Drosophila melanogaster: one gene and its partner. Each later gene encodes a partner of the first gene's protein in a complex. Each region holds a gene or a part of one and is shown in the gene's direction. Other genes may lie near its edges.

The links.
Region 2: eIF3j (region 1) and eIF3g2 share a complex: the UniProt entries of both Drosophila melanogaster proteins name them as parts of the eukaryotic translation initiation factor 3 (eIF-3) complex.

The regions. Positions count from the first base shown.
Region 1 is NT_033778.4:9,966,682-9,972,237, forward strand, and holds eIF3j (eukaryotic translation initiation factor 3 subunit j), read left to right. Parts: upstream 1-2,247; 5' UTR 2,248-2,538; coding exon 2,539-2,554; intron 2,555-2,779; coding exon 2,780-2,871; intron 2,872-3,059; coding exon 3,060-3,173; intron 3,174-3,237; coding exon 3,238-3,526; intron 3,527-3,590; coding exon 3,591-3,727; intron 3,728-3,792; coding exon 3,793-3,855; 3' UTR 3,856-4,216; downstream 4,217-5,556. Other genes in the region: CG12133 (uncharacterized protein), read left to right, coding at 584-1,131, 1,196-1,670; CG12134 (uncharacterized protein), read left to right, coding at 4,713-4,740, 4,796-5,556. UniProt on the Drosophila melanogaster protein: Component of the eukaryotic translation initiation factor 3 (eIF-3) complex, which is involved in protein synthesis of a specialized repertoire of mRNAs and, together with other initiation factors, stimulates binding of mRNA and methionyl-tRNAi to the 40S ribosome.
Region 2 is NT_033777.3:20,406,353-20,410,567, forward strand, and holds eIF3g2 (eukaryotic translation initiation factor 3 subunit g2), read left to right. Parts: upstream 1-1,912; 5' UTR 1,913-1,974; coding exon 1,975-2,796; 3' UTR 2,797-2,891; downstream 2,892-4,215. Other genes in the region: Tmlh (trimethyllysine hydroxylase), read right to left, coding at 318-1,222, 1,282-1,471. UniProt on the Drosophila melanogaster protein: RNA-binding component of the eukaryotic translation initiation factor 3 (eIF-3) complex, which is involved in protein synthesis of a specialized repertoire of mRNAs and, together with other initiation factors, stimulates binding of mRNA and methionyl-tRNAi to the 40S ribosome.

The DNA.
Region 1 (5,556 bases):
CATCTCGACATTCATACGGACGGACAGGCAGGCCATTATAATTAACCCAAGGAAAGTTGTGGATTGGACATCGTGCCATGAATCATTTTAGCAATCGAGATAAGCTTGAACTTTTAAGACCAACTGGCTTTTGAATTCAGTATTCGGTTAGGCTTTGACATTTCAAGATGGTCTCGATCCATTTTTATTTGGCACTTTTGCTTCAAGCGATTTCCTTGGCGAATTCTTTCCAATTTGGTAAATAGTGGCAACTACAATACAATATACATATCTACAATTTCATCGGATCAGTGTCAGTGTTAAATATATACTTTGGCAGCTCACGGATCTATTTTTGGTCTCAACAATAATTAATACCTTATAATTACAAAATTGGAACTTCATTGGGTTGATTTCGCTACACAAAACTATAGTCTTACCAGGAAAATGCAATCTTTAATAGGATTTCATACAGTGTTACAAATGCTATTTTCGGCCATTTTGAGCTCCATTAATTGGTCAATTTTTGTTACCCCCCTTAGCAAAATTCAATTTTTGCCGACTAGACGAGATTTGCATCCCACTGAGCAAATGTGAACCTCTTATGAAGATTCTACATCCCCGGAACATGACAAACGATCAAAAATCACAGTACCGGAACAAACTATGCAACATTAATCCTTTTGCCCACGAGCTAGTGCACATGGTTTTTACCTGCTGCCCGATGGTTGCAGGGGATAAACTACCAGATAGCAGGGTCTGCGGACAGAGTCCTCCTTCGTCATATATCGTAGGCGGCATGGAGGCACAGTCCAACCAGTTTCCCTGGACAGTCCTGCTGGGTTACGAAGCCTACACAGCAAAGCAGCGACCGTCTCCCATGTGTGCGGGCTCCTTGATCGCCAGTCGCTATGTGCTGACGGCAGCCCATTGTTTGAATGTGAATGACTTCTACGTGGCACGTGTGCGCCTGGGCGAGCATGACACCGAGAACGATCCCGACTACACCTGGCTGCCGAATGGAGCCAAGATATGGGCTCCAGCGCACGTGGACATCGATGTGGATCTGAGGGTTCCGCACGAGCAGTACTACACGAGAAATGGAAGACACTACAACGACATTGCTCTGTTGCGTCTGAAGAGTCGGGTGAAGTAAGTAGTGTGCTCTTTGGGGTTCCCTCTTTTCACATTTTCCCATCGATGTCCTCTCTTTCAGATACACTCTTCAGATCAGACCCATTTGCATTTGGCCTGGCATTGAATTGTCAACTTCCTCCTTCAAAAACTTCCCTTTTCAAATTGCCGGCTGGGGCGATTCGGGTCTGCAGCAAAAAAGCACCGTACTTCGCCAAGGCACCATCAGTGGAATGAGTCCGGATGAATGCTTGAATCGGTATCCAACACTGCTCGTCGATAAGGACATCCAGATATGTGCCATGGGATGGGATGGCACCGACACCGGACTGGGAGATTCCGGTAGCCCGCTGATGGCTTCGGTGGGCAGGGGTGCTGATCAATTTTATTACCTAGCCGGAATAACGTCCTACGGAGGGGGACCCTCCAGTTACGGATATGGGCCAGCGGTTTACACGAAAACTTCCTCATATTATGAGTGGATAAAGAAGAAAATCAATGATATCGCTGAAGATGAACGTAAAATGAAATACAAATCTGTAAGAATACCAATTTAATTTAACGTTATTAAAATGATACTTTTTATGCATGCAGAAATGGATGTTGTTCTTTGTTAACAAAATCGCCAAAACAGTCAAGTAAAGAAAGTACACAATTATCTTTAAAACCGTTCTTGGGACAAAAAGCCACATTTAACATGATTATGTTAAAAACAGATGTAACCATTGAGAATTGCAGACGTTTGACATAATTCACATTTTGCAAACAAATCCAGATCTTAACTAGACCAATTCTAACTCCAATAAGGATGACTTAGCCTCTCAATCGAAAGAATTCCTCGACTATAAGATAGCCTTAGTCAGCAATTGGGGAGTTCGAGGTATATAACGACACAGCTAGTTCTTCTTATCAAGAACATGCTTATGTATGTATATACTCTCTACTATATATAATTTATCGAGTCGAATCAATTTTCCTTATAACTCTAAGAGTAAGTTTCTTAGAACACCACGAAGAGGGAGATTTATCACGAATTTTTTTTGAAAAAAACTTGTAGGGTAACTCAAATCTTTAAAAACTTAAAGATTTCTTAACAAAGTTGACAAATTTGTGTTTGAAAATAAAATAAGCAATCTTACAATCAAGAAAGGAAAAAAATGAAAAATGAAATATTGTAGGGTAACAAATTTCAAATTGTCGATAACTTGATATCACCTTGGCCGCACTACGAATATTCGATGGCAACAGACTATCGGCGACGTTACCCACGCATTTTCCGCTAGTCGCGCCTTGGGCACACTACAGATCCACAGAAATTTGGTTTTGGAAAATTCCTGAAATCGCTGCCGAGGCTGGAAACAAGTCGATCCCAGCACCATCCCATCCAGAAGCACAAATCCCGCAAGCAAATAGGCAACCATTAACATGGCCGACGATTGGGGTAAGTTGCGATTGGCCTGGGCGGAAGAGTGGGCGGTGCGTCATCTGCACGGCGGACAATAAACGTGGTCTCCGTCGTTGTTGTTGTTGTTGCTGCTGCTATTGCTGTTGTTGTTGGAGTGCCGTGCAACCAGCCTTGATGAGTATTTTTAGCCACTGTGCCAACTAACCGTTTGAAATCATTGTTATTCACCATGTTCCTGGAACTCATTCTGTTACCTGGCAGAATCCGCAGCAGACAGCGAGGTGGTCATCCGGCCGACTGCCGCCGCCAGCGTAAACAAGTGGGAGGGCGAGGACGAGGATGAGGACATCAAGGTGCGACTAACGAAATCCAAGTGAGATCGAAAGCAGTGCCGCATTCAAACCAACTATCCAAGTGCCCAACAACAAATGCCATGGGCCAAAACTTGTTTTTCTGCACTCGGTTTCACTTTCGTTTCGCTGTACACGTGTGCACTTTTGCAGCAGACTGATCGAATCATTTGTTTATTTGCTGCCCACAGGACAGCTGGGAGGATGAGGAGGAAAAAAAGGACGAGGAGAAGCCTACGAAAACAGAAGCACCAGCCAAACCGAAGCCAAATAAGGCGCTAAAAGCCAAACTGGAACAGCAGGCGGTGAGATAAGGCTCAAAAGCATTTCTCAATCATTGGCTATATTGTTATCATCTGTTATTAACAGCTCCTAGAGGAGGAAGCGGAGGCAAAACGTTTGGCCAACCTATCGCCTGCAGAAAAGTTGGCTGAGAAGCTGCGATTGCAAAAAATCCAGGAGGCCTCTGATCTCAAGCATGCCCAGGAAGCGTTCGGTGTGACGAGTACGTGCGGAGGTCTTGACGCCTTCAACCCCGAGACCAAGGAGGAGTTCAAGGAATTTGGCGCAACGCTCAGCTGGAAGGTGGGCCAATTCCGCGAGTCGGAGCACTTCCCCCAATTTGTTGAGGATCTGGTGCGCAGCCTATGCGTGAATCGTGAGTGATTAGCTGGCTGACAATTAAAGACGGCTTATCTGATTTGATTTCGCACCTTATCTAGTGAGCGCTGCTGACATCAAAAAGGTCAAGATGAACGTGGAAATCTTGCACTCGGAAAAGCTGAAGCTGGAAAAGGCCAATGCTAAAAAGCCCGCTGGAAAGGGCAAGGGCAAGGTCACTCTCCGCACCGAAAACGACGTGAGTGTTTCAATCGCCGCCGTTCGAGATCAACGAATGAACTTATTTAATCCGCTCTTTTGCAGGACATTGACGGTTACCAAAAGTACGGAAATGACTTCACCGAAGACTATGACGACTTCATGTGAATAGGATCTATAAATGTAGCCCGCATATATCTAATTATTGAATGCATAGTTGCTTGTTGAAGAGTTCTTCTTGTTAGAGATGCTGCGCAGGAATAAGAGTCCTTTGTTAAATATAAAATGGCAGAACCTATATAAATATGTAAATATATATTTATATAACCATACATAACACAAAACGAGTTACATAGTCAAGTCAGGCAATCAAGAAACCTCAACGAACACGCAAATCCAACTCCAAACCGAAAGAATATTTAGGCAACTGACTTATGGCGACAGCACATGTATGTAGGTCGTATTCGGAACGGCTTCTTGTGAAATTCATTTTTGTATAAAGAATAAAACTACAGATCGATATTAAACGAAAACAAAGAAATCTTGCTTATTGTGCTGTATGGGTGGGTGTGTGGTACGGGTGTACAAGTATGATGGTGGAACTGTTGATGATTGACAATTGAGTTAATTATAGGTAGCCGCTTTTATCTTACCATTACCATGAACTTTTCAAAGGAACCATAATTTTTAATTTATTTAAAACGATCACAATGCGCGCCGTAATTTGAAGGCGCTTCACTGTGAACGGCTTTGTTTGCATAGCCAAGAAGAAGCATCGCAAGGTGTGGTGTGTGACTTGGCTTCAAAATCATATTATTGAAGTAGTTAAAAATAAATTCAGTTGTCGAATAAGTGGATTTCGTCATAAAAGAAAGAGTGCTGACGCATTTGAAGTGCACTCTTATCCCTTTCAACTCGTCTATTAAGTATTCAATGTGTCTTCAGCCCAAGTTAGCTTAAATCTAGCTGAATAGTCAGCACTGTCGTCATTTAATGCACGTGCGGCAAATTAAAAATAGACAAGAATGAGCGACTTTAACAAATATTGCGAAGGTTTTATTAGCTATAAGCCTGCCAAGACGGCCTGATTAATCCGTACATCCTGCAGAAGCTGCGAGGGAAGCGCTTCCGGACTCGGAAGACGAGGAAGACATCGGCGATGAGGACACTTGTAGCGCACAGGATCTTGCCGCCGAATTCCAGCTGAAGTACAAGCCGCAGGACGAAGTCAGTGTGTCCTTGCAGCGTGAATATGTTCTTAGCCTGGCCGCAGATCAAGGATTCTCACGGATGGCCGCCGGACTGTCCAATTCAGCAGTGCATATCTATAATTTGGATTCGGGCGCCGGGAAACTGGAGAACTTTAGCTATCTGCCGCCCACAGATTCGCCGCAGAGCGTAAGCATCTGTGGCGTTCGTTTCCTCGACGAAGGACCACACAACATCCTGGTCGGCACCACCGATGGCTACGTGCGCCTCTACGATCTGCGGCTAAGAGGCGAACAGGCGCGGTTCAAGTACACGCAGCACCCTAATGTGCCTCCGGTGCCCAAATCGCTTTCGTGCTTCGACAGAAACGCCAACGGTCGGATTATTTGCTGCGGCACCGAACAGTTTCACAGCAACGCGTTCCTCGTGTTCTTCGATGTTCGGGAGCGCCAGCAAATGGGCGTCTACTTCGAAAGCCATGAGGACGATATCACCTCGTTGCGGTTCCATGCCCAGAATCCAGACCTTCTGGCCACGGGCAGTGTGGACGGGCTAGTAAACGTGTTCGATGTGAAGGAGCCGGACGAGGATGAAGCACTGCTTAACACCTTCAACACGGAGAGCAGTGTGGCCCGGTTGGCGTGGCACAGAAACGTCTAC
Region 2 (4,215 bases), on another chromosome or scaffold:
TATATATGCAGAAAGGATGTTGATTTAAGCCAGTATCTTGCATCGAAGTGAAGGAGTCAGCTACGAACATGTAAAGTATATATATTATTGATCAATGTTAAATGTTCTTCTATCCACAAAATAATCTCTCAGTGTTAAAGTTATCCGCATGAAACTTTCCCATTGCAAAAAGTATAAAAGTCGGTACGGACCATATAATACATAAATGATTGCTGAAGGAATATGCGGAGCACTAGAAAGTATAGAAAATAAATCATAATTTCTTAGTTCATAAAAGGTTTTAATTCGGTATACATTAGGTATTTTTCAATAAGCTTTCAGTCAATAATTCCCAGCACTCGAGCCTTGCTGAGAAAATCTGTGCGCTGCACATAGGAACCGGACATGGTACGACTTCCTGTGTATGCCTCTCGACCATGGAGCACTCTCCAGTTATCGAAAAGAACAATGCTGCCGGGACATAGCTTGAGAGCCCACTGCTGTTGCTTATCCCTGACGATTAGCAAAAGCTGGCGAAGACTGTCATAGAACTCGGCCATTTCGGCTTGAGGGATGGTATTAAACACGGCGCGATCATATACATTTAGTCTGAGTTGAACAAATTCCTGAGTCAGTGGATCCACCTGTATAATGGGGGCAGTGTGGTAGTGGTGCTCCCCTTTTTCGATGTACTCTCCAGGAACTTGGACACTGCACAGTACATCATAAGCGGCGGGATACCGGCGTTTCAGTTCGTGAACCACATGCAGACCATCAACAAAGAAATTTTCGCCACCCGATCCCGAGTGCTCAATGCAATGTAGAGCCTGTAGTCCGGCTGCATCGCAGAAATAGGTATTATCCGTATGGGAACCCAGGTAAAGTTTGGTATAAGCGGTGTCCGCGTGATCGGGGTTATCGCTAAAAGTCCACATTTCGCCAAAGAACGTTTTCATAAGGGGGAAAACTCGTCGCAGAGCCAATTCTGTCATATTCGCGGTGGGAGCCACATCATCGATAAAGACAATGCCATAACGCACCAGAGATTCAACCAGGGATCTGACTTCGTTATCACTGGAAACCAGCTGGGGCAATGGGAATCGTAAGTGCCGTTCGTTTTGCAAGATAATGCTACGATTCCATGGTGTCAGATTAGTGGACTTTGATCGCCGACCTATCAACCTCTCCAGCTGTGAGTCGAAGATAAAGTCCAGGTCATAGTTCGACTTGTGAGCATCACTCCCTAAAATGGCAGGCCAATAAAATCGAAGCTAGGTGCATTTTACATCAATTTTTTCTTACACTGCACTTGTAGATTCATCCCGTCGTATTTGACATCTAGTGGCATTATATCAGCTGGTAGATCTAAGACATCGTATCGCCTCTGATTTGTTTCGAAATTTAGACACTCCACACATCGACAATGATCACGGAGCCAAAACTCATTGATTTCTATTGATTGGCTGGTTTTCGGGTGCTTCAAAAGCAACATGTTAATGCCAATAGAACAACCGACGGACTAGAGCAGTGAAAGTGAACTAACAGCTCAAAGTTTGATTAAGTTTCAGCTCGGTTTTAATTGTACTGTTATCAGTAGGAGAGCGATTACTTTCATGCTCAAGTCAGAGATAAGAACTTATTTGTTTACGGAATAACTATAAGATTAATAAATTTATTGAATTTAAAGACAATATGTAATTATTAAGAACAACTCATGAAAGTAAAAAAATTTATAATTTAATCAAGATTGATTGAATGGTATGTTTTTGTTGCAAAGTTATCTTAGTGAATTGCTACTCAAGTTGTTGTATTTTTTATTAAAAAATCATTACTTTAAAGAAAATATAAATATTAATTTCAAATATCTTTTATTGAAAGGGATTTTTTCCCATCTCAACAGGCCAAGTAAAATTCAAATGGAAAAACTCTCTCTAAAACTAGAGATCTCTAAGTTTTTAATTCATTTTGTACCGGTTGTGTGGGAAATCATAAAAAATGAAGACTTTCGTTACTTCCTGGGCCGATGAGGTGGATGCGGACTATGTGGATGGACTGCCGCCTTCTAATGAGTACATTAAGGGCGACTTCAAGTACGTGACGGAGTATAAGTTCAACGATGATGGCAAGAAGGTGAAAGTGGTGCGAACCTTCAAGATCGAGAAGCAGATTGTTCCGAAGGCTGTGGCTCGTCGTCGCAACTGGGTTAAGTTTGGGGATTCGCGATCGGACAAGCCCGGACCCAATTCCCAGACGACAATGGCCTCCGAGGAGATCTTTATGCAATTCATCGGCTCCAAAGATTTCGACCAGACCCACGAAACCCAACTTGATCCCGGCAAGAACATCGCCAAGTGCCGCATTTGCAATGGCGAACACTGGAGTGTCAATTGTCCCTACAAGGGCACCTCGATGGATAGCAAAACCGTGATGGAAACCAAGGCCAATGCCGCTGCAGCTGCCGCTATAAGTGATCCCAGCAAGACCGGAAAATATGTACCACCCTTCATGAAGGACGGCGGAGGCATATCTGGCAGCAAAAATTGGGGACGGGGTCGGGATCGGGACGATTCGTCGGCAGTTCGCATCTCAAACCTATCCGAATCCATGACCGAGACTGATCTCGAGGAGCTGGTAAAGAAAATCGGACCACACACCAAGATGTATTTGGCGCGCGAAAAAAACAGCGGCCTCTGCAAGGGATTCGCCTACGTGCACTTCAAGTTCCGCCAGGATGCAGCTGCCGCCATTGAGGTTCTTAATGGCCACGGCTACGACCACTTGATCCTCTGCGTCGAGTGGTCCAAGCCTCAGCCGTAATGGCTATAGCCTTGTGTATTCGCTTCTCTGCTTATTCGAGAACGGAAATGAGCTGCGGTGGCAGTGAAATCAAAATAAAATTCTGGTACACCCTGCAAAATATGCGACCACTTTTATTTTTAATTTGCACACATTCGATAATTACAGAGAATATATTAATAATAATATAAAATCTATTTATTAATGTTTCGTAGTAGATTTTTTCATCTTTCAGTTGAGCAAAGGATATGAATTGAGATAGATATGAAAATTGTTAAAAACAGTCTGGTTCATTTGGGACCACTCAATTTTCGAGTTGATATACCCTTGGACATCCAAGGTGGATGCTTTTTTTAAGTGCATAAAAGAGAAAGCTCGCCTTGAGCGAACTAAAGCCGATAATGCTCCGTTTTAAATGCGATTTTTTCGCCGTGCTCCGCAGCCGTACAAAGGTGAAAGCCACTTAAATGGAAGCCAACGTGGTGCCGGATGATGATGGCACGGCGTTCCCGGCAAGAGCTGAGAAATGCCACAAGACGCTGGCCGGACCGAATGAACATTAATAATTAAATATAAGAGCGGACTTATGCGCACGATACTTGGAGCGGAGCCCCTCAGAACGGGACGCCAACTACGCGACCATGACGTTGAACCGGGAATGAGTGGTCGGTGGATAGTGTTCGCGGGAAAGTCCCGGCTTAGATACACATTTTGAATGAGGGGCGGATCAAAGCCAGGCACAAAAGAAATTTATTTCCATTGTTGTTGCTGTTGCGGTGGTATGGGATGGGTAGCAGCTAAAGCAGAGTCTAAAACAAATTACTGAATAATTTATAAATTAACTTTTTCTGCGGCGCGCTCATTCGTTCGTCCCCGGCCTTTGTTTGAGCGGCAGAATGAATAGGTGGAAGGCGAATGAATGGGTGGCCAGGTGGGCGGCTTGACAGGTTAGTTAGCATTGTGGGGGGGGGGGGGGGTAGTTGGGGGTATGAGGCGCCCTGGTAAGGAGAACGCCCTCGGCCACGCATTTCTTTTTCAGTTTGCACCTTCAGGTCATGTGCGCTCACCGCACGCACACTCACTCACTCTTCCAGAGAAAAACAAACAGAAGATTAAAAGTCAAATGTTAAATAAGAAATACCCAGTAGTTGGAGTTAAAGTGGTATTTAAAGTAAGCAAACTCATTCCAATAACGGATATTTACAAACTTTTTTAAAAGAATCCATGTTCCTATTCAACTTTTTAATTTTTAAGTTTTACCTGTCGTAACTTCTAACAAAACACATTTGAATAGAGGCTAAATAATGTATAAAATTTAGCATAAATAATTTTAATTAGAATAAGAATTAAATAATCCAGAAAGCTATCCCATTAAGTATACGCACACAGCACATTATGTATTTTGAAATATTCTTCATACGCCCTGTGCACTACAGTGCA